Linked DNA regions of Alligator mississippiensis. The protein of the gene in region 1 interacts with the protein of each later gene in a pairwise test. Links are inferred from orthologs where the notes say so. Each region holds a gene or a part of one and is shown on either strand. Other genes may lie near its edges. The genes, in order: RNF5, YIPF2, UBE2W and INSIG2.

Evidence for each region.
Region 2: the proteins of RNF5 (region 1) and YIPF2 interact in binary tests that used the Homo sapiens proteins (3 or more experiments, as listed by UniProt). The two-hybrid records come from large-scale screens. The link is inferred for Alligator mississippiensis from reciprocal best matches to the Homo sapiens genes RNF5 and YIPF2.
Region 3: the proteins of RNF5 (region 1) and UBE2W interact in binary tests that used the Homo sapiens proteins (3 or more experiments, as listed by UniProt). The link is inferred for Alligator mississippiensis from reciprocal best matches to the Homo sapiens genes RNF5 and UBE2W.
Region 4: the proteins of RNF5 (region 1) and INSIG2 interact in binary tests that used the Homo sapiens proteins (3 or more experiments, as listed by UniProt). The two-hybrid records come from large-scale screens. The link is inferred for Alligator mississippiensis from reciprocal best matches to the Homo sapiens genes RNF5 and INSIG2.

What each region holds. Positions count from the first base shown.
Region 1 is NC_081834.1:62,662,358-62,669,196, reverse strand, and holds RNF5 (E3 ubiquitin-protein ligase RNF5), read left to right. Parts: upstream 1-3,832; 5' UTR 3,833-4,382; coding exon 4,383-4,519; intron 4,520-4,881; coding exon 4,882-4,900; intron 4,901-5,010; coding exon 5,011-5,123; intron 5,124-5,205; coding exon 5,206-5,260; intron 5,261-5,327; coding exon 5,328-5,439; intron 5,440-5,932; coding exon 5,933-6,024; 3' UTR 6,025-6,407; downstream 6,408-6,839. UniProt on the Homo sapiens protein: Membrane-bound E3 ubiquitin-protein ligase that mediates ubiquitination of target proteins. May function together with E2 ubiquitin-conjugating enzymes UBE2D1/UBCH5A and UBE2D2/UBC4.
Region 2 is NC_081831.1:23,571,221-23,578,910, forward strand, and holds the start of YIPF2 (protein YIPF2), read left to right. Parts: upstream 1-4,671; 5' UTR 4,672-4,890; coding exon of another isoform or gene 4,891-4,895; coding exon 4,896-4,926; intron 4,927-5,702; coding exon 5,703-5,845; intron 5,846-6,270; coding exon 6,271-6,351; intron 6,352-6,666; coding exon 6,667-6,754; intron 6,755-6,935; coding exon 6,936-7,052; intron 7,053-7,508; coding exon 7,509-7,675; intron 7,676-7,690. Other genes in the region: TIMM29 (mitochondrial import inner membrane translocase subunit Tim29), read right to left, coding at 3,549-4,189, 4,467-4,557.
Region 3 is NC_081826.1:58,930,804-58,938,378, forward strand, and holds the start of UBE2W (ubiquitin-conjugating enzyme E2 W), read left to right. Parts: upstream 1-4,558; 5' UTR 4,559-4,652; coding exon 4,653-4,667; intron 4,668-7,575. UniProt on the Homo sapiens protein: Accepts ubiquitin from the E1 complex and catalyzes its covalent attachment to other proteins.
Region 4 is NC_081827.1:242,412,173-242,420,160, forward strand, and holds the start of INSIG2 (insulin-induced gene 2 protein), read left to right. Parts: upstream 1-4,982; 5' UTR 4,983-5,071; intron 5,072-5,426; exon of another isoform or gene 5,427-5,499; intron 5,500-7,988. UniProt on the Homo sapiens protein: Oxysterol-binding protein that mediates feedback control of cholesterol synthesis by controlling both endoplasmic reticulum to Golgi transport of SCAP and degradation of HMGCR.

The DNA.
Region 1 (6,839 bases):
TGTGTGCAACATACCCACACAGTGTAGAGCTACGCTTTGCTCAAACATGCTGCGTGAGTGTGAAACAAGCATTTCTCTGCTACTTGTCAAACACCGTGTGCATTTGCGTATAACAAGCAGTTCTATGCTCATTGCTTGCTCAAATGCATGTTTGTGTGCAACACACACTATTTACTCAGTGTGTGTGTGCATGCATATAAGCAGAACTATGCTATCAGTGCTTGCTCAAACACTCATGTATACACACACCTGCAGCATACTGTTACACTACCATTTGCACGCACACACACACACACACACACACACACACACACACACAGTGACCATGTGTCCACAACACACACACACACACACACTGGACCAAGCTACACTATTTGCTCAAACCCACTGCATGTGTGCATGTACACATGCACAAGTGAGTGCACGTAACTTTGTACGCTAGTGCAACTGTGGCAGAGCAAGTACATATCACTCACTGCATGCAAAACAATGTTCTCAGTACACGTGGTTATTCACACACGCACACATGCACAGCAAACCGAACCCTGCCCAAGCCCTGTGCATGTGTCAACATGCCCAGAGACACACACCTGCCACACTCCGACCCGGTGCCACACACACACCTCCCTGCCGCAGGGCTGGAAGTTCCCGACACACATGTAGGCGTGCACACGCCTGATCTTCCACCCCACCCTGCACCCGAGGGGGGCCTTGTCCCAGACTCAACCCCAGCCTGGGCCTGACAACTGCAGGGGGATAGGGGCCATGGCAGCACACATGGTAGGCAGGTGAACACATGCACATGGTGTGGATTTACACACACAGCTATGGCATGGGCCGTGGCACGCACAATAGCAAGCCACAGGGAGCATGGGAAACCTGTATGCATGCACAAACACACACAAGAACACAAATACACGCACATGCCACATACACAAATGAATACACTCGTGCACACACAAATACGCACGTGAATACACACACACACACACACACGTGTGAATGGATGGACACATGCACAGAATCCAGGCATCCAACACACACACAGAACCCAGGCACCCAGGACACACACGAGTACACATATATGCATGCACATGCCAGCATATACACATGCACACACAAATACACAAACAAGTACACATTCACATCTGCATGTGAATAGACACACACACACAGAACCCAGGCACCTGGGATACACATGTAGAGGCCTGTGCCCCACACAACCATCACACACACTCACACAAGACTTGTACTTCCCAGCACAGTGCTCCACATCCCTCACATGCCATTACCATCACACACATACACAGACACAAACACACACAACGAGGTGAGCATTGTACCCCCAACAACACCCAAGCATCACACACAGAGTACCCTAGGCCCCACATAACTATCTCACACGCACACAAATTTTACCAAGCACAGTTCCCCACAACTCCCCACTACCATCACACACCCCCCGAGAACTGTACCCCACAACACCTTACAAGTATCTGTCTGTCTCACATATACATGCACACACATGCACGCGTGCACACACACACACACACAGTGGCCTGTACTGCACACAATGGCTCGCAACAACACACACACACACACACACACACACACACACACACAAACTGTACCCCCAGCACTGCACCCCACACACCCCTACCATCACACACAAAAGTGAGAAGTGAACCCTGTGCAACACCCCACAAGCATCTCTCTCTCTCACACACAAATTATTGCTCCCCAGCACAGTACTCCACACTACCCATAACACTCTGCTACCGTCACACACACAGGTGAAAATTGTACCCCTCCACAACACCCTACATCACACACACACACACACACACACACTGCCCTGTGCCCCACACAGCTGCTCACAACCACACACACACAAGAACTGTTTCTCCCCAGCGCACACAGAACCCAGGTGTGGGGATACATACACACAGGTGAAAATGATACCTGCATAACACCCTGCAGGCTTCACACACGCACCAACTGTATCCCCAGCACAGTAACACACATTTCTCCCAACACCCTCCTACCATCACACACACATGCAAACCTGAATCTCATGCATACGTGCATGCACACAGAAGTTGTGCCCCCCCAGGCACACATACCCAGTGCCCCTCACAAGTGCCTGCAACTATCACAGTTGCACACATGCACAACCCCACATCCCTCACAACCCATTACACACAGACACACACATGAAGGAGTAGCCATCACAAACATGTGCAAGTCAGACCCCTCTGGATGCACACACACACATGAACACAACACCCCATGACCCTCAAAGGCACTCATGGTTACCACAGAACAATTGTAACCCCCCCGTGCATGCGCGCGCGTGCACACACACAAACACACACACACACAACCCAGGCATCTGGGACATGGACATACACCTGTCAGGCACCCTGGACACAAATGTACACACACAACCATGGCACCCTGAACACACACACACACAGAACCCAGATTCCAGAACAGGTGCACGCACGCGCACACACACACACACAACATACAGGCATCTGGAACACACACACACACACACAACCCATGTGTCCAAAGCACACGTGTGCACTCATACACGCACAGAACCGAGGCACCTGGGATACGTGCTCACACATGCACACACCACAGGGGTCCAGGTCGCCCAGACCCCACTGGACCCCACGTCCACCCGAACCCCTGAGCCCTGGAGCTGGGGGGGGAGGGGGGGAGCAGGACCAAACCATCGCTGCAGGGGAGTAAAGGGCTGCCCCTGCCAAGGCTGAAGCAGGGTACCACCAGCCCCCCCCCCGCTCGGGGCAGCCCCTCCCCCACCCCGAACACCCCCCTTAGCCCCCATCCCCCAGGGTCCCCCCCCTCAGGCCCCCCCAACCGCAGCCCCCCATCCATCCACCCCCGCACCTGGCCCCGGGTGGTGCGGGTGGGGGCGCTCAGGGCGGCGGGCCGGGCCGGGCCATGGCGGCAGAGGATGCTCGGGGAGGGGGGGAGGGGGCGGAAAGGGGCGGGGCCTCACACCGGAAGCCGGGGGGGAAGGTTGGGGGGAGGCGGCCAATGGGGCCCGCGCGCGCGCCTGCCCCCGGACCCCGTGACGTCAGCTCCCTCCCGCGTGCGAGCCCCGCCGCCCTGCCACGCCCCTCTACGGACCCCCACCCCAATGGGCCCCGCCCCTTCCCCACGCCCCGCCCCCTCCTGTTGCCCCGGGGGCGGGGCCTGGGGCTGCCTCGGTTGCCATAGAGACGTGGCGGGGGGGCACTCGAGGGACACCCAGGAGTGGGGGGGTGCCCAGGAGAGGGGCAGTTGCCATGGTTACCGTGGCCCCCCAGTGACCGTTGCTATACCAACGTGGCAGGGCGGCCAGTCGGGCCCCAGGGCAAAGGGGGACTGCTGCCATGGCAACGTCGTCACGATGGCGACGAGGCCAGGCCGTGGGGGAGGGTTGCCAAGGTGATGGAGGGTTTGGGGGCAATAGCAAGCAAGGGCAGTCGCCATGGTGACACAGCAGGGGTGCAGTTGCCATGGTGACGGGGCAGGCCCGACCAAGGCCAAGTGATGGTTGCAGGAGTGACAGGACTGGTTGCCAGGGGCGGGGGGTGGCGGTTGCCGTGGTGACGGGGCTGGCAGGGACAGACTGTGGTTGCTCCAGTGACAGGGCAGTTGCCATGGTTCCAGGGCGGCCATTTTGCCTCGGTCTCTCCGGCCGCTGACCGCACCTCGGGCTTCACAGCGGACACGTGTGCCCCGCCCCCACCGGCCTTCTTAGCCAATCAGTGGCCTTTCCCTCGCCGCCCGCTCCTCCAATCCCTTCCGCAGTCCGGAACCGTTATGGGCGAGGATTGGCCTAAACGCTTGTTAATTACAATTACTCCCCCTCAGCCAATCAGTCAGCATGACAGAAAGAATCCAGGCCAATAGAATCCTACATGTCCCTGGGGGTCCCGCCTCACTTATGGCTACTAATAATTGGATTATGGAGCTGTTCATTCAAAGTTTCTCCGCTCCTGCCCGCACCTTACCCCGAAGCGACCAATCACGCGTCGTTTACTCGTGATTGACGGGAGCCGGCACCCATAGGAAGCGGGTGAATATCCTACACGCTGAGAAGCTGGGACCCAAGCCGCAGTGACCAATGAGCGTGAGGCAACGTGTGATGGACAGCAAATCTACCCAGTCAGCCACTGGCAGAGGCGTGTCCTCATCTGGTGGTAATGCCAACTACCCTCCCGCCAATCATATTCGCCAGTTTCCTTGAGAGGCAGCGTCACCGGCCACTGAGCGGGGGGCGCGGCTGATTGGCGGCCCCGCTGGCCAATGGGACCCTTGAGAAGGAAGGCGGTGGCATTTCCCCTCCGGGGGTGGGGCGGAAGATGGCGGCCGGGACAGGCCCGGGGGTCCCCGATGGGGGCCCCGAGGTGCCAAACCGCGACCGCAGTGCGTTCGAGTGCAACATCTGCCTGGAGCCCGCCCGGGACGCCGTGATCGGGCTCTGCGGGCACCTGTACTGGTATGGGGCGGGGCCGGGTGGGGGCGTGGCCTGGGTGGGGGGCTCTCATGGGGTGGGGCAGGGGGAGGGGCCTAGCTGTGGGGGAGGGGAGGGGCCTAGGGAGGGGGCGGGGCGTAGCTATGGGTGGGGGAGGCTGGAGTGGGGGTGGGGCTGGCGCGAATGGGATGGGGGGAGGAAAGGGGTGGGATATGGTTGGGGGTGGGGCCGGGAGGACGGAGGCGGGGATCGGATATGACTGGGGAGTGGTCTAGTGGGTGGGGGAGGGGCTTAGGGTGGGGGAGGGGCTAGCATGGGTGAGTTGAAAGGGGGGGGCCTCAAGGCCCACCCCCATAACACTCCCCCCCCCTCCACACACCTTGCAGCTGGCCCTGTCTGCACCAGGTGAGTCCCTCCCTCCCCCTCGTCCCCCACCGCCCCCGGGGCATGATGTGGAGCAGGTGGGGGAGTCGTGGGGGGTCCCTCACCCCCTCTCCTACCCCCCACGCCGGCAGTGGCTGGAGACACGGCCAGAGCGGCAGGAGTGCCCCGTGTGCAAGGCAGGCATCAGCCGTGACAAGGTCATCCCCCTGTATGGCCGTGGTAGCGCCGGGCAGCAGGACCCCAGGTACGCAGGGTTGGAGGGCATTTACAGGGCAGGAGGCACCTGGCTTCTGCCGCCCTGATGCCCCATCTCTGCCCCTGCCCAGGTTGAAGACCCCTCCACGGCCGCGGGGCCAGCGCCCGGAGCCTGAGAGCCGTGGGGTGAGTGAAAACGGCCACCTGCCCTTCTTTTGCCCCCTCACCCCCAGCTAATACCCTGTGTCTGCAGGGGCCACCACCGCCTGTCTTCCCCGACACTGGCTTCCACATGGCCTTCGGCATCGGCGCCTTCCCCTTCGGCTTTTTCACCACCGTGATGCGGGGCCCTGACGCACCAGCTGGTAAGAGACCCCCTGGCACCCCAAACCCAGGGTCCTTGCACCCTGTTTTGGGCAACCCTTATGCTGGCAGACTCCCACGCCCTCCCCACCCCAGGCTGAGCTCCCCCCACATCAGGATGACTCCCATGGACCCCCCGGGGCTCCCCTACCCCATCCCACACATGCCCATGGGCCCCCTTCTGAGTACCCCCACATGCCCCAGGCTCCTCTCCACCCTCCACCCACCCTACACTGGCACTAGTCCCCCCCCGCCAGCCTTCCCCTCCTCAGTTTACAGCAGTGGGGGCAATTATTTTGGGTGGAGGGCTGCTTACTGAGTTTGGTAAGCCATCAAGGGCCACATGACAGGCAGCTAGGGGCAGATAAATATTAATTTTCTAAATTTTTTAGGGGCACCATGGGCCGGATAGAATGGCCTGGTGGGCTGTATCCAGCCCACAGGCCACATTTTGCTCACCCCTGATTTACAACATCTCTCTCCTCCCCCCCCCAGATGCAGCTGCTGGCCCCCGGCCCTCTGGCTGGCAGGATTCGCTCTTCCTCTTCATTGCCATCTTCTTCCTCTTCTGGCTTCTCAGTGTCTGACCCCCCCCCTCCCCTCCAACGCACCCCTGCCATGGACAGGCAGGGGTTAACCCCTGGAGGGTGGGGCTACAGTATTCTAGCAGGGTTTCCCCTTTGCCCCTCCCCCATGCGTGGGGGCATGATGTAGTGGCCAAGGGGCAGGACTTGGGGGGTTCCCTAAGGGCTAATAGGGGGGAGGGGCCAGTTCAGGGTTGGCCTCTGCTCTCCCCAGTGATCCCCTGCTGGCCGGGCCAGGCCCTGGTGCTCCCTGCACATGGGGTGGGGGGAGAGAGGGCAGTTCTGGGGCATCTGTGAGTGTTTATGGGACAGGGCAAATCAGGGTGACCCCACACCCCCCCATGGCAGGGGGACCAGGGGTGTCATTAAAGCACTGGTGATTCGTACCCTGGGGTATCTGGACTCTCATTAGGGGAATGAGGCGAGAGCAGATAAGACCCCGGGCTGCGGGCTAGGAGTGAGAGACACTGAAAAGGGCAAGGGTAGGATCTACCATAAGTTGTTCCCCTAGGTCTGGGAGTTTACTCTGGACCCCACTACCTGTGCCCCCCTGGGGGGAGTCACTGAGATGGTGAGGGGTTCCCTTGTTTTGGGGAGATGAGGTGGCTGGTTGTGGGGTCCCCCCACCCCAGGGAGCCAATCCAAAGCCATGGAACAGCCTCCCGCACCTGGAAGAAATATATTTTATTACATAAGCCAAGAAAATACAACCAATGGGGGGTAGGGAGCCTCCCGTGACCCCCCGCAAACAACTTAGAGGGTCTGTGCCCCCAAAAACTAGGTGCTATTGGCTGCGGAACCCACAAGACCTCAGCACA
Region 2 (7,690 bases), on another chromosome or scaffold:
AAATGTTTTAATTTTCCAGATCATTTCTCTGTCGATACAGTGGAAGGAAGGATCCACAGAGGATGTGATTTTGTTAGCAGGAATCACCCCTTTAAGGAAGGGATTTCAAAGCTTAGAGGAGTTTCTTTGCTAACTCTGTTATAGGTGTATGCGTAGGATTCACTATCTGATCATGTAACCTGAATTAATTATTCAAGAACTGTTTGAGGAGACATTTCATATTTGCATGCCTTGCATAAAACTATTTTAAAAACCTGTGAACGTATTCCTAACAAATCAATTTACTTTTAAACAGATGGGCCTATAACTCTTACTAAAACACGCAATGGAAAGACATGATCAAAATTACTGTGGCTGAGCTCAAGCCTCTGACTCAATTCTGAATTGGATGCAAATTTGGCTCCAATAGGAGCATGGAGTTTATCCAGTCTGGGGATGAGACTAGAAATGCTTATAATGGAGTGCTCTACCATGCCAGATTTGTCCCCATGTCACATAGTACTGCTACGCAGCAAGTTATTTGGGTCACAACTAACACCAGGACCTGCATCTGCAAAGCCAGTGATACCTAGAAGCCCCCTCCTGAAGTGTGACCTCAGAGCTACTCATGAATAAATGCTTCCCTCCCTTACATGTTGGGGGCTTTAGACACTAGAAGTATTTTAACACCCTCCTTGCTTTGTTTTTTGTTGTTCTATCTGGGAACCTCTATTTCCAGAGCACCTGACAGACTCCTTTAAATAAAAAAAAAAAAAAAAAAGGCTGAGGGTGCACAAATCAATCTTTTCCCTGGCCACAGCCTGATGTGACTACTATACACACTTGTCATTTATCTTGCTTTTGCTCACCTGGGTCCTCCATTTCTCCAGAGGACAGAAAACTGGGGAGACTAGAACAAGGCCTATTACAAGCTGTGTAAGGTCCAACTTTGCTAAAGAGAACCAGGTTTTTAATAAAGGAACCAAGCTCCCCAAAGTAGAAAGGGAAGCTAGTAAGTGAAAGGCCTGCTTGAGAAACCAGTCAAACAGCATGAAATTAAGCAGCCAGGAGCCATAACCAAATGAGAACAGCAAAAAAACCAAGATGGGAACCCTTGGCTACTAAAGCACCAATTTCCCTTCTCTGTTTATGGGCAGTTACCTCCAAGCTGAGGGCTAGGCAGTATTTTGGCCTTTTGAAAGCACTTTGGTACTGAAAGGACTGAGTGTGTGCGCAAACCAGGACTGCAGTGCTAATGTTTGTTCCCCCCACTTTTTTACACAAGCCAGAGCTGCAGATGGATTTACTAGTGAACTGGCGGCAGCAGCAGCAGCAAGTCAAGATGTCCCAGTGCTGGAATGCCATGCAGAGATTGAGAGGACAGAAAGGAAAGTTCCTGGGTAATATTTACCTTGTGCTTTGTCACTATGCACACACTGCATTTATCTCTAGGTATGTCATGCATGCAACACTTCTGCTTTTACTATTCCATTTGTGTCTTTTCTAGACAAGCTCTTCTGCTTTAAATTCATGGCCCACTTGAATTGGAATAACTTTTCTGGGCAGATGAGCCCTAATCCTCTCTCTCACACACATGCTGCATGCATTGTAGATCCAGGTCTTGACTCCCTGCCCCCTGGCTGGGGAAGCAAGAAGTGGGTGGAGGAAGGCAGCATGAAGCTCTCTCTTTGCCCCCCCCTCCCACCCAAACTCAAGGGCAGTCCAAAAGCTGCTCACTCTCACTCTACTTCCTGGGGAACAGAGAACAGTGACAACAGACCACACCTATGGTTTACCCCCTACCTCTGGGCTTGGGTATGGGGCTCTTGTACCAGCTGGGGAAGCCCCAGCACAGCAGAGTTCTCAAGGGGCCATTTCTACCCCCACTGCATTGTTATGTTGGCTGAAGAGGGCACTTCACAGAGCCCAGAACACCAAGCTGTGTGCATGGGCTCAACCCCTCCCCCCACTGTCAGTGTCTCTCATTCATCTTTAAAAGAGCTGGAGCGTAGGCTGAGCCATCACAATCAAAGAGAATCAAACAGAAATCCCTAGGCAGCAGATGCCTCTAAGACCCCAGCTCCTGCAGTTGCTCAATCAATTATTCAATAGGTTAATAAATCATTAGAACAGGATATTTTAAGAGCCCAACCAGCTCCTGAATGTTGCCTTCTTGTTCCAGCTCAGGTGCAGAACAGCCATCCTGTCTTGGGGAACTCAGTTTATCTTTTGCTTTCTCTGCCACCCCTTCACCAAAAGAGGTAAGTGCCTGTTTCTTTCCCGACCCACTTCTGTTGTACTCTGGGCTAGCAAGAGACACCTTTTTCAGTCTTAGCAGCTCCATAAGGGGCTTCTCTAAATGCCTGTGAACTGTGCACTGCCCGCCAAGTCATAGCAGGTCCATGCCCCTGGGCTGCCTCCAGGTTCAGGGAGAACTGCAGTGGGAATCTCTGCACCTTTGTCTGAGAGCAGCAGTACCAAGGAGTTTTCCTTAGCTCTTTAGCACCCTCTGCTGTTCCCTGAGGAGCTGACAGAAGGCTCAGACTTGGGTTGGGGGCTACAATACAGCTGAGGCTCTATGCAGAGGATAGAAGGCAAACAAGACCAGCCCCCTTGGAAGTGATGCTGCTTGGGCCACCTCCACCCCAAACAGACGTTTTGGCTGATGTTGCCCCAGATGCCCTGGAGCCTCAAATACTCCCCAGTGACCAGGGGCTTTGGTTTCACCTCATTCCAACTATCACAGAGCTGCAAAAGTCACGTGGGCCCTAGCGGATTATCCACCCAAAAGCAAAGGCTTCCCTTTATGACTCACCTGCCCTGCCCCCCAAAACTGGGCTGGGCACTGGGGGCAGCAGCAGCAGCTCAGAAAGGAGCGTGCCTGTACATGCCACCTGTACCATTTTCAAGAGCACATGGGTCCCTGTTACCAGTCTCCCCTCTGAGCACTGGATCTGAACTCATCTAGAAGAGACAGAAGCCCTATGGAGCGACATTACCCTGGAACACCTCTAAGCCAGTGGTTCTCAACCTTCTTCAATTCAAGGCACACCTTGATAGAACCTTGGAAGAGGTCAGCTCTTAGCTTCCACTTGATTTTTCTTACACAAAAATCACGGAGCAGTTTTTCTGTTGCAGAAAACACAGAAAGATCTGAACAGGTCAGAACATTTTGCCACTCTGGATTAATACTTGAAACCTTTCTGCTTATCTTGTCAATCCTGTTTGCATGTCTAACAGCACTAACATTGTGTAGCACCTCTGAAAGGATCTTAAGATGCCCCAGAGTGGTGCAGGGTCCCAATCAAGAATCACTGCTCTAAGCACTGGGTTGGCATGGTACCCACAAGAGGCAAGGCAAGCCCATGGATAACGCATCCCATAGGTTAGTACAAAAATCACAGCAAACGTAAGAGCCTCCGCATCCTCTTTATTGAATGCCAGTGCCACCAAGGCTGGGAAATCAGCATGCAACAAGGCTGAGGGGTCCAACAAGAAACAATCCCATAGTAAAACCTATCTGAGCTTCCATATCCACCCTGGCTCAAGCAACCGCTGCTTGGTTCAGGTTACTGGTTTGTGACCCCCTGAGGCAGTGGCTGCATCTCCCTCTCTGCCTGCTCGATTTGTTCCTCTGTCAGGACAACAGGCTTGTATTTCTCGCCGAACAGTCTCTCATTAGTCTCCGAGTGGAGGTTCTGGAAGGAGATGATGCGGAGCTGCTCTGGAAGGTTCTGGAACTCCTCATCATTGATGTCAGAGTCCTTCATTTTGGCATTTAAAACCCACCAGCGCCCCCAGAACCCCACATCCAGGATGCGGCCTGGAAACTCTGTCCAGCGCGGCTGCAGGTGCTTGCACTGAGCCAAGTACAGGTCGGTCTCTGCGTCGAAAGGGGCCTCATACACCAGGGAAAAGAAGACCAGGCTCTGGTAGCGCAGCTGCCCCCAGTTCCTCAGCTGCATCAGGCGCTGAACGTGGCCCTTGGAGGTGGTGTTGCAGACCCAGGGGGAGAGGAGGAGCAGGGTGCCAGAGGCCTCGAGGAGGGAGGCATCGAAGGAGGTGTCGCTGGGGATGCGGAGGCTGCAGGCGGCTGCCCCGGCCAGCACCGAGAGGTAAAGCCCGGCTTTCCCGGGCCGTTGCCGGGCACCCACAACCACCTCCTTACAGGCTTCCACATAATCGTGCAGGAGGCTCTTCCACCACTGGCCTGCACAGGGGCAGCAAGGTCAGATGCTGCTGGCTATCAAGGGCCCAGCCCACCAAGGGGCGGCGGGTGCCCGCGCTGGGGAAGCCGACGCTCTGGGAGGGACCTGCAGCTACGCGCGGGGCCGGGATTAGAACCGAGAAGTCCGGGCTGCCAGGCCCTGCGCCAGCCCCTCCTCCCGTGGGAACCCGGGCCGCTGCCTCCCCCCCGGAAGAACCCAGGCGTCCGAGCTGCCAGGCCCTAGCCCCAGGAACCCAGGAGCCCTCCCCCTCCAACCTACCCAGGCGGCTAGCGCCGAGCCGCCCCCAGAAGCCGCGCCTGCCCCCCCGATCGAGTCCCGCGCCGCTCGTGGTGTCTGCTACCACCGCCATGGCGCCAACCGGAAACTGTTTCCGGCCGGAGGGGAAGTGGTGCCGGACCGGACGAAACCATCCCGGAGCTCGGGGGGGGGGGGGGCGGTTCCCCTTTCCTTTCCCCCCCCCCCCCCCCCGGGAGTGCGCGCGGCCAGGCCGGAGAAAGGGACACGCAGCACTGGAGCGGGGGGTGCCCGGCTTTGCCAGGACACGTCACTCCTCCCTGTCGTGCTCCCCTTGCACAGCAGGGCCCCGCCTCGGGGTGTCTCAGGAGCTCGCGCCTCAGTTTCCCCCACTCCCCCCCCCGGCCGTAACAAGCCTTCGTCTCCCCCAGGAGCCCGGGGTGCGCTGATGCTATGGCGGCCTCCGACCAGCTCCGCTTCCACGGTGAGCAGGCGGCCGCCCTCGGGGAGGTCCCGCCGGGCCGCGAGGGGACCGGACCCGGCTGCAGCAGGTGTTTTCCCTCCTCCCGCGAGGCCTTGGGGCTCTGGCGCCCCCAGAGCCCGGCCGGGCCCCGCGCCGCCCTCGGGCACTTACTGGGCGGTTGGCACGAAGCAGGGACGGACCCGCTGCCCTTGGCTTCCTGCCTCCTGGGACCGCGGGTACCCCCCGGCAAACCTCCCCCTGCCTCTGGCCGAGAGGCTCTGGCTGAGGGAGCCTGGCGTCTGCGGGGCATCTGCCAGTCCCTCATCCACGCGCGTATCCCAGCAGTTTTCCTGGGAAGGGGCACGGCGCTGGCTGGTGTGCTGTTCAGCACCCCCCCCTTCCCCCCCCCCCCCCGAGCACTTGCTAGCGGCCCTTGAGCCTGCTCCCTTCCTTGTTTTTTCTTTCGTTGCCCCAAATACTCTCGTTAGGTCTTCATAGGTTTGCCTAGTGGAGGGAGGTTTATAGCTCCCGGGTGAGCCAGGCCCACACTCCTCTGGGCATAACAAATAGGTCTGCCTAATGGAGACAGTGTGGTCTGGCAGTTAGAGCATAAAACTGGGACCTGGGTCCTTCTGGCCAAGATAGAAGTACCTTCTGTATCATCGTAACGAGGGTGATGAACTCCCCAGCTCCTTCAAGGCATGACACTGGGAGGGTGCAGGCTCAGGAGTGAGGGGCTGGACTAGGCAGTGGCCCCTGAGCCCTGGGCTGTGATGGCTGGCGCTTTACCCCTGCAGAATTTGATGAGGCCGCCGACCTGCTGGCTGCAACCCCCGATGCAACAACCACCAGTGTCAGTGAGCGGCAGAGCCATGTGGCCCTGGATGTGGGCTCCAGCTATGACGAGAACGAGGAGGGCGATGAGAGCGATAAGACAGAGGTCGGGGGCAAAGCTAGCGTGCATGGGCAGGAGGGTGGCAGGACTAGTCTGGAGGGGAGTGCTGGCTCCAGGTCGGGCCCAAGGTTGGCTGGGGCAGGGAGTGTGCACTAGTGGAATAAAGAGCCCTTCACTTCCCAGCCCTAGGTCCAGATCCAGCCTGGGCAGCTGTGCCTGGGCTGTTCCCAGCTGCTGCTAGCTGTGGAAGCCATCGGGGTCCAAGTAGATCAAGTATTTCTACCTCAGTTGTGGCTCTCTCTGGAGATGGGGCTCCTGCCTGGCATGCTGGGTAATCCCAGTTGCTTGGAGCAGCTGGGGTGGGGTGCACTGGTCTGGGAGGGAGCTGGGCTCACAGTTGGAGGTGCTTGGGGTTCTCTGTGGGTAAGGCTGGTGGGGCCGCGTGGTAACATACATTCCCTTCCTCGCAGCTGCTGAGCGGCCAGAAGCAGCCACCAAGTTTCTGGACCTTCGAGTACTACCAGGCCTTCTTTGATGTCGACACCTACCAGGTAATGGAGCCTGCGCCCTTGTGGGAAGGCAGCATTCTGACACAGGCAGTTAGAGATGCTGGCAGGAATGAGTCCCATAGATTCATGGGTTTCTCAGCTCCCAGAGGCTTTGTACATTATTAGGTATAGTATGGTAGCACCTGAGAGCCTCAGTCGCAGGCCAGAGCCCCATTGCACTAGGGACTGTACATTATGTATTATAATCATATTGGGAAGCCCCCACCTAGGACCAGGATGCAGCTTTGCTCTCTGGTTGCTGCCTGGTGAGCCCAGAAAGCTGCCTGCCTCACTCCACTCCTGCTTTCTTCACTGTAGGTGCTGGACAGGATCAAGGGATCGCTGCTTCCACTACCAGGGAAGAACTTTGTGCGGCATTATCTACGGAACAACCCTGACCTGTATGGTGAGCCCAGAGGGGGTCCATGATGTGGGGCAGGCCAGGGCAGTGCAGGCTGAGCCCTTTTGGCCTCCTGTGCCCCAGGGCTCAGGTGCCATCCGTCAACCAGAGCAAAGCAGGGCATCTTTGGTCTCTGGCTTCTGCCCCAGCCTGGGCTCAAGGTCGCACTACCCTTGGCCTCTTCCAGGGCCCTTCTGGATCTGCACTACGCTGGTGTTCACACTGGCCATCAGTGGCAACCTGTCCAACTTCCTGGAGAAGCATGGCAACACCTCCTTCCGCTACAGCCCCCAGTTCCACAAAGGTGAGGGGTAGGTATGGGACAGGCAGGCATGGGCCAGGCCCCATGAGAACCCACCAGGCTCCTGGGCAAACTTGACCCCTGCCAGGCACAAAGCTTTAAGTGAAAAGAACCTAGGAGTCTTGGCTCCCAGCCCCAAACCACAAGACCTCCTTCCTCTCCCAGTTGTGGGGGGAACCCAGGTGTCAAGGTCCTCGGTTCCCCCTGCTCTAACCCACCAGACCCGTCCCTTCCCACAGCTGGGAGAGAACCCAGGAGGCCTGGACCCCACCTCTTGGCATTTGAGTCTCAGCTTTGAGCTGATTCACTGTTGGCTGCTTTGCTGTCCTAGTGCCTGTAGCATGTACCGTGGGTGGTGGTTGTTGGGGGGGGGGGGGAACAACACAAAAGGCCCCCCCAGCTGGCTGGCTGGCCGGCCGGCCGCAGAGCACTGGGTGACAGGAGCCCATCCATTGGCAGTGACCATTGCAGGCGTTGCCATCTATTGCTATGCGGGGCTGGTGCCGCTGGCCCTGTGGGGCTACCTGCAGTGGCGCAAGGGTGTCTGCCTCAATGTGGCCTCCTACACCCTCCTGGAGACTGTGTGCGTCTATGGCTACTCCCTCTCAGTGTACATCCCTGCCTCGGTGAGTTTCCTGGGC
Region 3 (7,575 bases), on another chromosome or scaffold:
TTAAGTCCCTGGACAAATGCTGCCACTATTGTTTGTTTAGCATTTTCGACTGGGTTATCCATTCCTGAGTATCGTTCAAATGCCTGTTTGAGGCGTTCTAAATAGTCACTGGGGTGTTCATTTTTGTTTTGTTTACAGGTATTTATTTTGGTCCAGTCTGCCTTTTTTGGGCAAATTGTGAGAACTGTCTGAACCAAAGCATTTCTCTTGTCAATAAAGTCTTGGCCAATCCCTGGGTTTTGATCTGGCCAAGTACAGGCAGCGTACAGACGTAGCATAGTCTCCTTGGGCAAAATGGATCGCATGAGCTGATTAATGTCAGCCCATGTTGGATTATAACAATTTATAACAGTCTGCAATTCTTCCTGAAATTTTTCTGGGTCTTCCCTGATTTTTGGGAACTTTTGAGTTAAATTGTAGAGATCACCTGGAGTCCAGGGTGCATGCACAGTTACTATATTTTGTCCATCGGTGCCAATGCCTGGCATTTGTCTTAGGGGGTAAACTTGTGCAGTTCGGGATCTCAGATTGATGGGAGATCTTTTCATGCCTATTCCCATTCTTCTAAATACACCTGTGGTGGGTTGTGACCCAGGAGTAAATTGCCACACTGGTGATGATTTAGTGGCAGATATGGTGGATGAGTCCGGACTATTAAGCTCCGTGGATGGATTTACTGAAGGAGCTTCAGCTAATGGGTCACTAGCCTGGGCTGCAGCCTGATGTTGAACCGGTTGTTGCTGATGTGGGAGTCCCAGGAGAGCAGGGTTCGAACAAAGGTCAAGGATATCCTCTGCTGGCTCCGGTGGTGGGGGCGCCCCGGGCAATGCTGGATACATCGGAGCGGTGGCCAGCGTGTAATTTGGGGGAGCAGCCAATTTCTCCCGAACAGCTTTTAACTGCTGTTTTAATTTTTCTTGAGAGTCTTTTAGGCTCCTAGTTTGAGATTCTGTCCGCCTTTTGGACATTTCATCATACCAATAAAAGAACGCGTCCCACTGGTTTTGTGGTGTTTTGGATCCACGGGACTCTAACGCCCCTCTCAAGTGCACTATTTTATCCTGATCAAATGTTCCTTCCTGTGGAAAATGTTTCACAGGATCATCCCTAGTATACCAGTTCCACTTATTCAAGTACTTGCAAGTCACGGGAGAATAGTGTGTGTACATAAAGTACGCCGGAGTCCCCTTAGGGGGGACAGGAACCTGTTTAGACTGACTTGTTCCCATTTTCAGTCACACAGGGAGATGTAGGAGAGGCTTATTTAGGATGTCCGGGCCGCTCAGTGCCTTGCCCCGCAGTTTTTCACTGCCCAGACAAAAGGCTTCTGACCCGACACCGGCTCATAAAATGGAAATGGGGAGGGAAACACTAGAGGGATCCTTTCACTCCTGCTTTCGGCAGAAGCTACTGGGACGAGGGGTTTGGAAAAGACAAAATCACTCAGACGCCCTGTCCACTGGGTCACGAGGTTCCAGTTGGGCCCCCTTGCTTTCAAAACTGCCCTGTCAGGCAGAATTGGGGCGGCTGAGCCCAACCGTAGTCTCAGTCCTGGTCAGTGGCTCATATTTCTAAATACACACACACATGCACATTTATTCAGTCAGCCAGACCTCCTACCCCACACCGCCTTAGTTAATTAACTACAAGCCCGATGTGCTGTTGGATGAAGGTGCCTCAAACAGTTTCTCCCTAAAACGTACGTTACCAGACACAAAATGGGATCCTTTACCAGACAGAAAATTTTAGCCGGCAGTAAGGTTCAGACTGACCTGTTTTAACAAGGTTCAGATCCAGTTATCACGGCCAAGTTGGGAGCCTACAGGCAGTCCTCCTCCGAAACCCCAATAGAGATTTTGAATTAGGTCTCTTACCTCTCAAGTTTGGCGCCTCAGGGTTCGGGGGGGGGTAGCCTGCGGTCCTCCTTCCTCAGCCTGTGTTCTGGATCCGAGTCACGGCACCAGGAATTGTCGTGGAAACACACACAGAGTACTTTTGGGTCAGGTCAGCAGAAGCTTTTATTCAAAAGAAACTACAGCTGTAGGGGGAGTTCCAAAGTGACATGGATTTCCCAAGCACTTGGAAGGGGTCCCCCCCCCCAAGAGCAAAATCAGGAGGCTTATATACTTTTTAACAGTCGCTTACAACTCACGTGATCATATAGTGAAATTAGCATGAAAAGCGGCTATAATATTACTTCATTATTTCTTTGCTGTTATCAGGATGGGAATTATGGGGGAGATAGGGTTAGTTCACAAACCTCCTTCTTGCACCTGGAAATCTACTTTGTACATACTTTTTTTTTCTACCTTCAAGGCCGCGGTGAGCGAAGCATTTGCAGAAGAGTTACAAAGAACAAACACTTGCCCTTATCTGTTCTACTGTACCGAGCCAGCAATTCTACACAAAGCGGTTATGTCATCTTATAACTAAAATAATCAAAGTTTAAGGCATATATTTTTTCTGATTCCACACTGTCATACAAAGGAAAATCTGATTTGCACACTGAGGCGTAGCAGCCTTGCACACACCTCTTATCATTTGACCTTGAGCTAGGTTTTCTGGAACACAGGATTCAAAAGTTGATTATAATGGATTCAAATAATTTTTTACTGTCATTACACCCTTGTTGGCTAACCATCAGTATGTTTTTAACTAAGCACGTGTCTGTTGCCTAACCTTAGTGTTCTTGACATGTGTGGCGTTTTGCATCAAGGAATGCTTTTTAGAATAACATGTATATGTGTCAAATGACTTAATCTAGTGGAACAGTAACAACAATTTGCATTTAATATTTTAATTGCGCAATTTAGTTCAAAAGTAGTACAGCAAACTGAAGGTATTTATACCAATCACTTCAGTGTAACACAAATGTCACCTGGAATTATGATCTTGTCAAATGTTATCACATAAACTTCAGTGGAATCTGCCAGCATGTAGATAAAAGACCTTCAGGTAAAATGTAGGTGGCCAGAGCCTCAGCTTCTATGCATCAGTCCGACTCCAACAGCATCATCAGAGCAGCGCACACTTGCACTAGCTGTGTGTGAGATCTGATGTGCTTTTGGAAGCATTAGTTTTATCATCAGTGTTGGTGGGGCATTACCATGAGCTTGATCATGCTGTGTTTAGAAGGAGGTGATACACGAGAGTTAGAAGAAACTGAGCTAGAAACTGAAATAACTGAGGGTCATCTTTATATTTCCTTTAGTGTAAAGATGTTTCTAGATGTCTTCAAGGCCCCTATCCCCCACACCTTTTCAGTCTCACTTTTAGTAGGTTATTAGTTCCTTCCACAGCCAAGTTTAAATGCATTTACTATTTCCCTGCTGCCTGTAAATCAATGAATGTTGTCCTTTCTGAGACAGCTGATTCACTATAACTTAGCACACTTACTGTTTTAGTTCAAATCACAAAGGTGTTCCCTTTCATGCCCTGCCCCTGTTTTCTCCATTTTCAAAACCTGGGAAAGTAAGCAAATACATTACAGTGATATTATTAGTGTCCAGTACTCAAGAATGAGAACATCAGTGCAGAAACCATTTTAAGGTATCCGGGTTGCAGCCATATTGGTCTAGAGGCAACAGGTATCAGAACTTATGGTAGAGGAGACATAGTTATTCTAATAAACAAGATTTTTGAAAAAAAAATTCTTTAATTTCAAGCTTTTGGGCACAAGCATGCCTTTTTAGGCACAGGAGAAAAGATTGTAAAAGTTCTTCCAGATAGAAATGAAAGTTCATATTTCATAGAAGAGTTAAAGGTGTGCTAAAATCTCCTGTTTGGCAGTTCATTTTATGCAGGTTAGGCAAAACTATTTTAATTAATTAATTAACAGTACAAAAACCTCCCAGGATCGTGCTACTGCTCTAGAAGGGGCACAGAGCAGGTTTTGCTCCTCTACCATTGCTGTGTGGTAAGGTGAGGTAGCTAGCTACGCTAGCATGAAGTTGAGTACAGCACAGAGCAGGGCAGGCCTTTCAGGCCCAGCAGGTGTTGCATGTATCACAGCACTGACTTGTGAATTGTACAATAAATGTCCTGTGCCACCCATCCAGCTAATTTCCCATGTGATATATTGGGGAGCCAGCTACAAAGATGTTCTTGATTTAATGCAGAGCCAATGAAGTAGCTGGTTGCCTCTGAAAACTTATGCCTCCCCAGAACCAGTCTGTCTTTAACCTGGCAGACATTACTTTAATTATGCAAGGCGGGGGGTGGGCTGAAAGAGGCTTATTGCAGACCCGGACCAGCCACACGTTAGAGACCTTTGTGGCAGGATGCATGGCCCCTGGGATCACTGCTCAGCTCCCTTCACCTGTTTGCTGTGGCCTGGAGCCAGATGAGGACAGCCCAGGCCATGCAAAGCCAACCCCCCCCTTGCACAAGCCGTGAAGAAGGCGCAGCTGCCCTCCTTCCTCCAGGGCTCGGGCCGACGTGTTCCGCGGCCCGCTCCTTACACACTGCGCAATACGGTAAGGCGAGGCCGGGCTCCTCGGAAGACAGGGCCTGGTGCAGCTCGAGGCACGTGGGGCTCTGTTCGCCACGGCGCATGCGCGGTGCCCGGGCTGCGGCCCACGTGACCCGGCGGCGGCGGCGCTGCGTCTGTAGCGGTCGGGTCGGCGGCGCAGAGGGGAGGGGGAGGATCCAATATGGCGTCCATGCAGGTGAGGAGCCTGCGGCGGCGCCGGGCCGGCGGAGCTCCCTGAGGGCTGGCGGTGCCAGCGGTTGGTGGTGCGGGGGTGGAGGTTGCTCCCAGGGGCGCCTTCTGCTCCGCAGGGCCGGGCCGGGCCGGGGGTAGCTGGGAGCGCCCGGTGGGGCGGGGCCCTGCGCGCCGTGGGGGCCCCGCTCCGCTCCCCGTCGGGCTGGGCCGCAGCCCGCTGCCGTGGCGGGTCCTTCTACGGCCCGGGTGCTGACCGCGGAAGCGGCGGCGTCTGCGCGGTGCGGCATTGGCGGGGCTGGGTGGTTCGGTGGCTGCTTCCCACGGCTTCCCCGCCCGTCCCTGTCAGGCGCCGGCCTGCAGCTTCTTGGCTTTCCTTTCCAAAGTCCTCCCTTAACTCTGAAAAGAAATGCCCACCCTTCCTCCTCCCACCTGGAACCATCTTCTCAGTTGGCTGGCTTAGGTTTTCTCAAGGTTGTCTCTACTCCTAATCCTCTGGTCCAGCGAAGCTCCTTCCACATAAAGCCTTGGCCCTGGCTCCTGGGATGCCCCATCCTGGGAGGGAAGTGCAAACCAGACCAGGAGCTGTGCACCTGTGTAGGAGTAACAGGAGCTAAGTGCCCCAACCTTAAACTGGGGATGTTGGGGAAACTGTCCTCAGGTTTTGCTTGTGGAGAGCTCTGCAGGAAAGGGGTAGAAGTCCTCTGGTCTTTTGAGTCATTTCAGATGAAAGGGAGCAGAAAGCTTGAACACGCAGCACAGAATATTCCCGATTTAGCAATGCCCCAAGTAATCCACTAGTCCGAGAGACTCGTCAGTCCTTTGTTTCCAGTTTCTTGAAGAGCTGTGTGAGACCATTCATGTTTGAAGTGTTGGATGATTTTATGCTCGCATTTCTTCAAGCAGCCCAGTTTTGACTAATTGCAAAACAGAATTTTGGGGCAATGATCTGTTTCAAAACCTGGTGCAGATATGGGGAAGTATCGATTGTGAAACTTGGAGGAGGCAGTTTGTGGGACTTGAGATGCTAGAGTTCTGTTTCTTTATGCCTTTTAAATGTCCTTCAGGAGCTTGTTTAACTGTCTTCCCACCCATCACCTTTCTTCCTTTTCTGTAAAAGAGGGATAATAATTAAGGAGCTTAGGGAGATCAACAGGTCAAAAGTTACAGTGCTAGTAGTGTATTTTCGTGAGTAATATGCCCCTTATTATTGGAAGGCACCAAGATGGGGGTAGGGGGGGCAGGAATCTTGCCTTGGAGTACAGGTAAGTACCAGGTATCTGGGGATCTCTGAGGCTGGGACTGGGGCTAGCCCGATCTGACTTGTTGTGCAGTGGGGATGGATTCAGCAAGCCGAAACTGGGACTACTTGGCAGGGCAGGGCTGCAGGTTAAATCCAACCCTGAGCGCTGGCTGTACATGGTGCCAGACTGACCACTCTGGATCTGAAGCCATGTGCTGGGTCCAGGACCATGTGGTGGGTTGGACCTGGTGTACCAATTCCAGCTGTAGGACAACCCTATGCACTGTCCCAGTCCAGCATGTGACTGGGGACAAGGACTCTCCACAGGTTGGGAAATTTGGGGAAGAGTGAAGAGCAGTGGCAATGTTAATTGTAGTGGTTCCCAGAACCAGGGTAATTAATGCTACCACTGCTCCACCCTTTCTCCCCCCCCCCCCCCCCCAAAAAAAACCCCCAAACAAACCAGATTTGTGAGGAGTCCTTTTCCTTGTTAATAATGTACACCCCAATTTTTCCCAGTTGCATTTGGGAAAAAGCTGTGGGTTATATGTGAGAAATTGTGGTAATAAGTCTTCTGGCTAATACCTATTTCTTGAAAATATGGTAGTGAGGAAGTTAGTTCTTTTCTTTTTTAATGTAATAAATACTATTCTCTTGGGCATCTGCATTTATTGATAGTATATTATGGACACTACTCATTTCAGTCTTGTTAAGTGTGGAACCTTTAAAATTCTGGGGAATGTTATAAATGTTTTAGATTCTGTTAATTTTTTTAAAGGGCAATTTGCAAGTCGGAAGGGTATGTTTTGATTTAAAACAGGCTCATAAACTTCAAAATTATTTTATAAGTATAATTTTGATGTGCATGTGTGTCTCCAGGTAGTGCACATCTTCCATTCTGGTCCAGTCTTATTTTGTGGTTCCTTAATAAGCACCTCCTGTGTTTTGAAAGACCTGTGAAAGTGGGGGGAACTGATTATACACAAAGCTTTGTCAGGTATTCAAAGTAAAGAAGAAACTTTCATTGTTTATAATCTTGCAGTTATGGCAGTTAATTCTTGGTGCTGCATGCAACAAAAGTAAATAACTCCTCAAAATGCCTCAGATTTTTTGAGATGGATGCAATTTCCTTGACAAAGCAGGAGCATGCTTATTCACTTTAGACTTCTATTTTATTTGATCTTTGAAACTTTTTATGCAGTATTTTCTGTAAATGTATTTAATATGGACATCATCTCTGTTCCAGTCATTTAAAGGTGATCTCCAAAATAGAAAATATGGGCTTGTGTTTTTTTGTTTTTAATTTTTTGGCATTTTAAGATGTACATGGATGGTCTGAAATATGTTGTTTTTATTTTCCCCCTCTTCGCCTTTTGTTTTTATCCTGATAGTTGGGCTATGTTTGGACAATGAAGGATCTGACATGAAGCTTGGAGAGTGAAACTGGAGTAACTAAAAGCAAACAATAATTAAAAATGACTTTGTGTAGTGACCAGTGTTTTAGGGAGAGGAAAAAGTCTGCTAAAATTCAATAACCCAGTCACTTACCTTAAATTATGAAAGCTACCAGAGATTTTTAAACCCTCAGCACATGCAGCAAAATTAGGGAAGATCAAGAGTTTTGTGAATTAAACACAGAAATATTAGCAATGTTAAAAAAAAAGAAAAAAAG
Region 4 (7,988 bases), on another chromosome or scaffold:
CTAGCAAGAGCAAGTCCATGTAGACTACAATGTCTGCTTTCCATGAGAGGCAACATTTTTAATGCACGCTACCCACACCCTTGACTTTTTCCATCATGACTTTTGCACTGTTGATACAAACATCTGTACGAAGTTCCCAGTTAATCATATTCTTTTGCATAAAACAATTAAGGATATTGAATATAGCCTTGCCTTTTGTACTTGTTTTAAGCAGGCAGCACAACAGCAGGTCCGCATGTAGAAGATTAAAAAGTATAGCACACGATTATGAGCAAGATAGCCAATCCTTCTTCTTTGGTAGATTCATCTAGTTGAATAAAAAACCCAACAGGACTATTTTTTATACAACTACCTCTGCTTGCCAGTGATCAGAAAGATCTTTGATGTGGTGAGAAACTGTATGGTCTGCATGAGGAATAATAGCAATGAGCTTTCTTAATTTTTTCACCCATTGTGCAAGTTAAAATTCCTTTTGTTCATGGCTTCCCTAAATTTTCAGCAATCATATGCACATCATCCACCTTAGCAATTAAAGAACTCACTTACAGGCTTGACAGTACTGTGCTTGCCAGCACCACAACTGAAAGAGATCTGGGGGTCATAATAGACCACAGAATGAACATGAGCCACCAGTACAATGCCATAGCTGGCAGAACTAATCAAACACAGGCGTGCATCTACTGATGCATCTGAAACAAGACTAAGGATGTCATCCTCCCGCTCTACTCAGCTTTGGTGAAACGGCAGCTGAAGTTCTGCATCCAATTTTGGGTGCCGCACTTCAGGAAGGATGTGGAGAAGCTTGAAAGAGTCCAAAGAAGGGCCACGCGCATGATTAGAGGTCTGGAGAGCAGGTCATATGAAGAGAAGCTGAAAGACATGGGACTGCTAAGCCTGGAGAAAAGAAGACTTAGAGAGGACGTGGTGGCAGCCTGTAAGTATATAAGGGGCATACAGCAGGGTCTGGGGAAGCATCTGTTCACCAAGGCACCCCAAGGGAAGACAAGAAACAATGAACACAAACTGATTGAGGATTGCTTCAGATTGGAGATAAGTAAAAAATTCTTTATGACCAGAGTGCCATGGGTCAGGAACAAACTCCCTCCAGAGGTGGTACAGACACCTACCCTGGAGATCTCTAAAAACGTGTGGACGCACACCTTGCTGGGGTCATCTGACCCCAGTTGTCGTCTTCCCTGCCCTAGTGCAGGGGGGCTGGACCTGATGATCTCGTGAGGTCCCTTCCAGCCCCTAACATCTATGAATTTATGAATCCTTCAAGAGCATTTCTGTTGTCTTAACAACAAAATAACATTAGGTAGTGATTTTTTAATAAAATTGTTACATTTCCTTTTAAAATAATCACCATGCATGTCTTTAACTTGTGGGTGTTTTGCCTCCAGAAGCTTTTGTAACTTTGCTGGATTCAGGCTGCTGTCAGGCAAAACTTGTCCACACTCAACACACTGTCCATCTGTCTTGTTTTTATCACCAGTCCAAGTAAAACCATAGTTAATGTAGCTTGCATGGTACTTATGTTTTGGTTTTTGATTCATTGCTCACTGGATAAAGAGCTTGTGACTGATTTGATATGCTGGCACATATAACAATAGAAGCACTGGTAATTACTTCCTGTTGTATTGAAATCTGGCATTTTTCCTGACTACTTTTCTTAACGTTGCCTGTTTTCAGTCACCAATCCATACTTTTTCTTGGTAAATCAAAAATATAAAATATTAAGAGACAGTTCAACACTGCTCTGACATCAAGGCACTTGTCAACTGACTGATTGAAATACGACGACGCAGAGACAGAATAATCACATTGGAACACCAGGCCTACATTGCTGCCAGATTTCGATCATGTACCTCTGTTTGTAAACTGTCCATCAAAACAAGGCGGGCAAATCTCATATCGTATTATTGTCCTATGAATAAAACATATGGCATGGATCGTCTCAGCAGAAAGGGTTAGAAAGACTGAGTTAATGTTTTTTTATCAATAAGTCACCATTGGCGGTGCGTAGAAGGTGCATGAGGGTACACGTGCACCCCCCTGAGATTGGCTGCTGCTGATGGCGTCTGCGGGGTAGCCACTCACCATCCAGCCCCCACTGCCGACGCTGCCGGCGGCGTCTGCGGGTGGTCACCAATAGCCACCCCCCCACCTCACCGCCGCGGCCACCTGCCAGGGTCCCCATTCAGCCTGCCGTCACTGCTGACATCACTGTGGCTGCCTGCAGGAGGTCCCCACTCGCCACCGCCGCTGACACCGCCACCTGTGGGCGATCACCGTGCCTCCCCCAGCCTCAGGAGGCACGAGGTGGTCATGTAAGTGAAACACAAGAGTCAAATTGCAAAATTTCAAAAAATAATTAACAATAAGTATATTTTACAAACTTGTCTGCTATTACCAATTTTTTTCCATGGAGCCCCCAAGACCTCCTCCTGGAACCCCAGGTAGAACACAATTTGAAAACCACTGATCGAAAACACTGGCCTCTCTCTTGCATCTAATCTCATTTGAGTCAATGCAACTGGGTTTAAGAGAAATCACTGGTGCTGCAGTGGATGTAAAGAGCTTGTGTGTGTGCATGTGTGTGTGTGTTTAGCTATTCACATGATCAGGGCATTTAGTGCTTATGTTATGATTTATTTGCACTTTTATTACAGCAGTTCTTCAGGATCATTTCTTTGCTGCTTTATGTTTTAGTGTTATTCATTCTTTACATAATCATTTCTCTTCTCACCCGTGTTGTTACTTCATGGTGGTTTCCTCATTCCCGTAGTTCTCAAACTTTTTAGACTCAAGGTATCTCTCATTCTGCTCTAGGCAGCCCTCAGAAAACACCAGCTCTTACTTTTTACCCAAGTTTTTGACTATGGAAAAATAACAGAATAATTGTTTTGTGGCAAAGAACTCAGAAAGCCCACAGCAAGTCAGAATCTTTTCAACACTATGGATGCCTATTTGAAATCTCTGGGTTTATCGTGTGAATCACATCTGCACACCTAAGGGTGCTAACGTTGCATGGCACCCCACAGCACCCTTGAAAAGATCCAGGAGCAGATTACAGGGAGGCGCAATGGCAGTCACTCCCCACCCTCCTTTAATTCCTGGTCTACCCAAAGTTTAAAATCAACTGCCTGGCAGAGGCTGCAGCATCTCTATTCAGGCAGCAGTGAAGGCATCACTTATCTTCATGCCTCATTATAATCTACCTGATTCCTTCTAAACTTTTCATACCACAGGTGTTAAACAACTTCCTTTCCTTTGTAATGGCCCTTATGATCAAATAATTGAACTATCTTCCTTTTGCAATTCCACTACCTACTAGCTGCTCCTGGTAATGTAGTTCCTATTTCAGAGGCCTGCTGACTGTCTTTAGCTAAAAACATTAACTTAGGCATGAAAATACATTTCAGTGAAGTATTGGTTGCACTGTCATGATGTTCAAGAAGACTAGATTTTGTTTTAGGAAGCTGAAAGAGATCTGTACATATATTTCTAGTGACTACAGGACTAACGAAACACACTCGATCTCTTTCTTTTTTGCCTAGTTTGTTGTGATGTTTTTACGTGATCAGAGCCGTCCCTTGGGGGGGGGGGTGCAAATCAGGACCACCGCCCCGGACCCCATACTTTGGGGGGCCCTGCAGATAGTGCCATTGGCATGTGCTGAGGGCACCATCACGCTGCTCCGGCCACCCCCCCACCCCTGCTCCAGCCGCTCCCAACTCCCTCTCCCCACCGCTCGCCAACCCCTCCACCGCCATGTCCCCCCGCACAGGCTGATATGCCCTGGGCCCTGCACACGCCTAAGATTGGCTCTGTACACGATATACAACACAGCGAATTCATACGCGTCCCAATACGCATGTATTTGTTTTTGCTTTGATCTTCAGCTGAATAATATAGCTCTAGGCCTCTTGTAAAGCTTCTAGTTTTTATGTACCTTAAAAAAAGCGCGTGCTGCGTTCACAGCCAGATCTAGACTTTGAAAAGGTGGGGTGCCCAGGGTGAGGTGCATCGTCACCTGTTAAACAAAACACATTTTTCCTGAAGTTAAAAAAGAAACTAGCTTTTCCAATACACTGGGAACCTAGGGCTGTATGATTCAGTTTCAGGTTAGAGCAGAAACAAATGCAAGGAATTGAAAATAGCCCGCAGGGCTGTGAAATAGGAGCTTCATTACCAGGAGCAGCAAAAACAGGGCAGAGCGGCGGAGGAAAGGCTGGCTTGACCGGGGCAGGCAAGGGTCTTTGGGTAACGTGCATATAGAAAGAGACTCAAAGACCCTTGCCTGCCGATGTCCTTGGGCCAACCAAAAACCTAGCTTGCTGGGTGCGTTCAAAGACAGTTCAAAAGAAGAGAGGGTCCTTAACCCCAGAGGATGAAGACCTCAGATTCAATGAGCCATGATGTCAGGCGACTCCTCAGCGCCGCCCCACCACAAACACTGCTGCCAGGCAGTGGGGGGTTTAAACTTTGGCTGCAGCAGGCACCAAAAGGGAGACCTGACTTTATTTCTGGCTCATTGTCAGGGACCAGATTCCTTCTCCCCCCGGCTGCACTACATGTACTAATGTCCTGCAGCGCCTGCACCCCTTCCTCACACCCCTGGGAGGCCCTGCAGGAGAAGCACCGTGTGAACAAGGCTTCACCCTCTTGCAGGGGGGGACAAAAGCATCCCTCCTTTCCTGCATTTTCAAAAAACCTCAGATCTACCCAAAAAAACTGCCCTGTGCACCACTCCCCCGAAGCAGCTGCTCCCCCCCTCCCCCTCCCCCTTCTCCTTCTCCTTCTCCTTCTCCTTCTCCTTCTCCTTCCAATCCGCCCCTCCCACGTGCACCACTCGACTGCAGCGGAAGCGCAGCTGCCCCGACCTCCCCAGCTCCCCTCTGCCGGCCGGAAGTCCCTCCGCCCCGACTTCCCTCCCTCCCTCTTCCCAGGCAACCGGCCGGAAGTCCCTCCGCCCCGAATCCCCCTCCCTCCGGCCGGCCGGAAGTCCCTCCGCCCCGAGTCAGTTGCAGCGGGTTGAGGCGGGGGAGGGAGAAGATGGCGGAGCAGGGTGAGCGGCGGCGGCGCGGGGGCTTTGGGGGGTGGGGGATGATGCTGAGCGTGGACGGCATCGCCTGTCCGCCGGGGGGAGGCGCCCGGGCCTTGGACACGGTGTCAGGGGCGAGGCTGGGGCAGCCCTTGGCTGAGGGGCCTCCAGCTGGTGGGGGGTCTCAGGCCTGTCCCAGCTCTGGGGAGAAGCCCCCTGCGATGTGGGGCCCTGAGGTGGCCTCGCTGGGGCCCATTCTGCTCCCTCGGCTTTTGAGGGTCCCCCCCGGCCTCGCCTCCTCGCTTGAGGGACACCATCAATTTGGGGAGTCATTCGCGTGGGAGCTGGCGCCAAGTTACCCTCCTTTTGGCAGATGTCAAGCCCCCGCACCGCTCGGCCGTCCCGTGCCACTCGTGCTGGAGGTTGCCCACCCCTGTGCCAAGCGATTGGAGGTGCTCGTGAGGGTGGATGCCGTGACGCGCGGTGTTTGTAAGCCATCCATGGTGGCAGTTAAGTTAATTTGCGCGGCGTGGAGCATCTTGCCTGGTCACGTGTGCATGCCCTCGTGCAAAAGTTTGCGTTGAAGTAGCACGTCGCGGAAAGGATGAAGTGTGGCGAAAGCTGTCTCCTCACAGGCGTTGTCTCTGTCGCTTTCTGCTAGCGCCGTGGCGACGCGTCGGGGGTGCACGTGCACCCTGACTGGCCACGCTCCCCGCTTAGGTGATGGGGAGGGGGGCCTGCAGGGAGATTGGCCCCGGGGGGGACAGCCCCCAGTTGGTGACTGGTCCCTAGGGGGGGCACGTGCCCCCCCCCCCCACCCCTGACTAAGGTGGCTTTGAATTTCCATTTTCAAAAGAAGAAAGCTCAACGGTTCAACCATATTGTAGGTTCAGCATTCAACCTGTGATAGCCCAGTTTAGACAGGAATAGAAATTTGGGATGAAATGTAACAAGACTTCAATTATCCTGTGTGTGTGATACCTTCATACTTCCTATTCCCAAAGATGTTGTTCATAATTGACTCAAAAGATCTTGATCATGTCTCTCTTATTAGAGGAGGCTAAGTGATAATGCAGTCTGTATACATCGGACCTATGTGAGGATCGTGGTGCAAACCCTGAAAGGTACCGAGTTGGTTGTTAACTCTTCTTTACAGGTGGAGGAGCTGAGGAGCAGAAGTAAGGTGACTCACTATGAAGTGCTACAAAAAGTCAGCGTAGGATTAGAATTAATGAATCTCGGGGGCGTATTCTCCTGCTTAAACAATACACTGTGGTAGTAGCTCAAGAAAAGATGCTGGCTTTTACAAGCACATTCACAATGTGTATTGCTGCATTTGCACTAGAAATTTCATTAATCAGAGCAGTTAGATAAAATTATTTGAGCTTGGTATAGAGCAGAGGTTCTCAACCTGTGGTCTGTGGACCACCGCTGGTCCGTGAGCTCCATTCGGGTGGTCTGCAGAAAGGTTGTGGAACAATTGAGAATATCTGTACTTGGCCCTGCACTTGATTTATTTTTTCTGACGACAGAGATTAAGTCGTCCGCTGATAGCCTCAGCACTTTTCAAGTGGTCTGTGAAAAGAAAAGTTTGAGAACCACTGGTTTAGAGTTTGCTTTGTTAGTAGCATGATTACAGGTGAATTATAGCTGTCAAGTAACTATAACTACAAACTGCTATCCCTTTCATCTCATGCTTTCTGTTGTACTCTTTAAGTTGTGTAGCAATGTCACAGTCTGATTTGGAGGTCCCACAGCTGTTTTGAGGTTGAGTGACTTATTCCACTAATCTAATTTGACACAGGTCACTTGCCACTCTCCCTGTCTTTCATTTTACTTGATTCTCAATTTCCCTGTCTTGTTCTTCTGTCTCCCCCTCTTTGAGGGCAAGCATGATGTGAAATTACAATGGCAGCAATGAAGATAAACTTCCACTTTCTTATTTAAAGGAAAAAGTCTCTTAATGCAATGAAGTGCTGATGCAGTGCTGTTGAAACCAAAAATGTAAGACAGGTTTATTATCTTTCATATCATGCCAGTGATACATAATTAATTAAGAGGATAGCACAGTATCAACAGCAGAGACATGAGTCCTAGGTTAGGGCTGGGCTTTGCTAAGTGAGCTGTCTGACCAGAAAATCCAGGTAAAGTATAAGAGAAAATATCTACGAGAAGCTTATTTTCTATAAACTAGAATATGCCTTGTCTGATTCTCATTCAGTTAACAAGTCACATTAGCAATGAGATCTGTTAATATTCTGATCTGGTTATGTTTTAAACTCATTTAGCACTGTTGGAAATAACACAAAAATTAGGGTGACAACAAATCTCAAGCACTCCTAATAATAGTAACATTGAAAGATGTTCTAAAGAACTGCCACATGAAGTTGGCACATGAACTGCCACATGAAATTGCATGTCCAGTACCAGGTATTTTTAATACATCTTTACAGTTGAAGTAATACAGCAACTGTAGCATGGCAAATATGGTAACTGTTAAGAGAAGAAAGTTATTTTGGATGGTACCTATTGTTAAGAGCAGAGACTTATTTTGGAACTACTGGTCCATTGGCTCAACCTTAATTATATGCTAGGCTTCTGAGCAAATTGTGATTGGAAAAAAATAACTAAAGACTTGGGGATCACATCTGGGCACCCTCCAGCCTGAGTAGCCAGGTACCCATTTACAGCTGGGGACAGTCTTTGGTGAGTCTCAAACTCACATCTCTAGAGCTGTAGCAAAATGCTAAAATTGCTCAGAAACTGTTTCCCTCTGCTAGAGATAAGAAAGCATAAGTGGTGTAAGACAGGGCAATTCATGTGAAATACTGTGTTAAATACCAATTACCTGTGGGCAGGAAAGATGAACACTCACTCAACTGCATTCAGAAAAGTCTTCTAGCATGGTCAGTAGAGAACATTGAGCTTGTTTCTGAGTGGA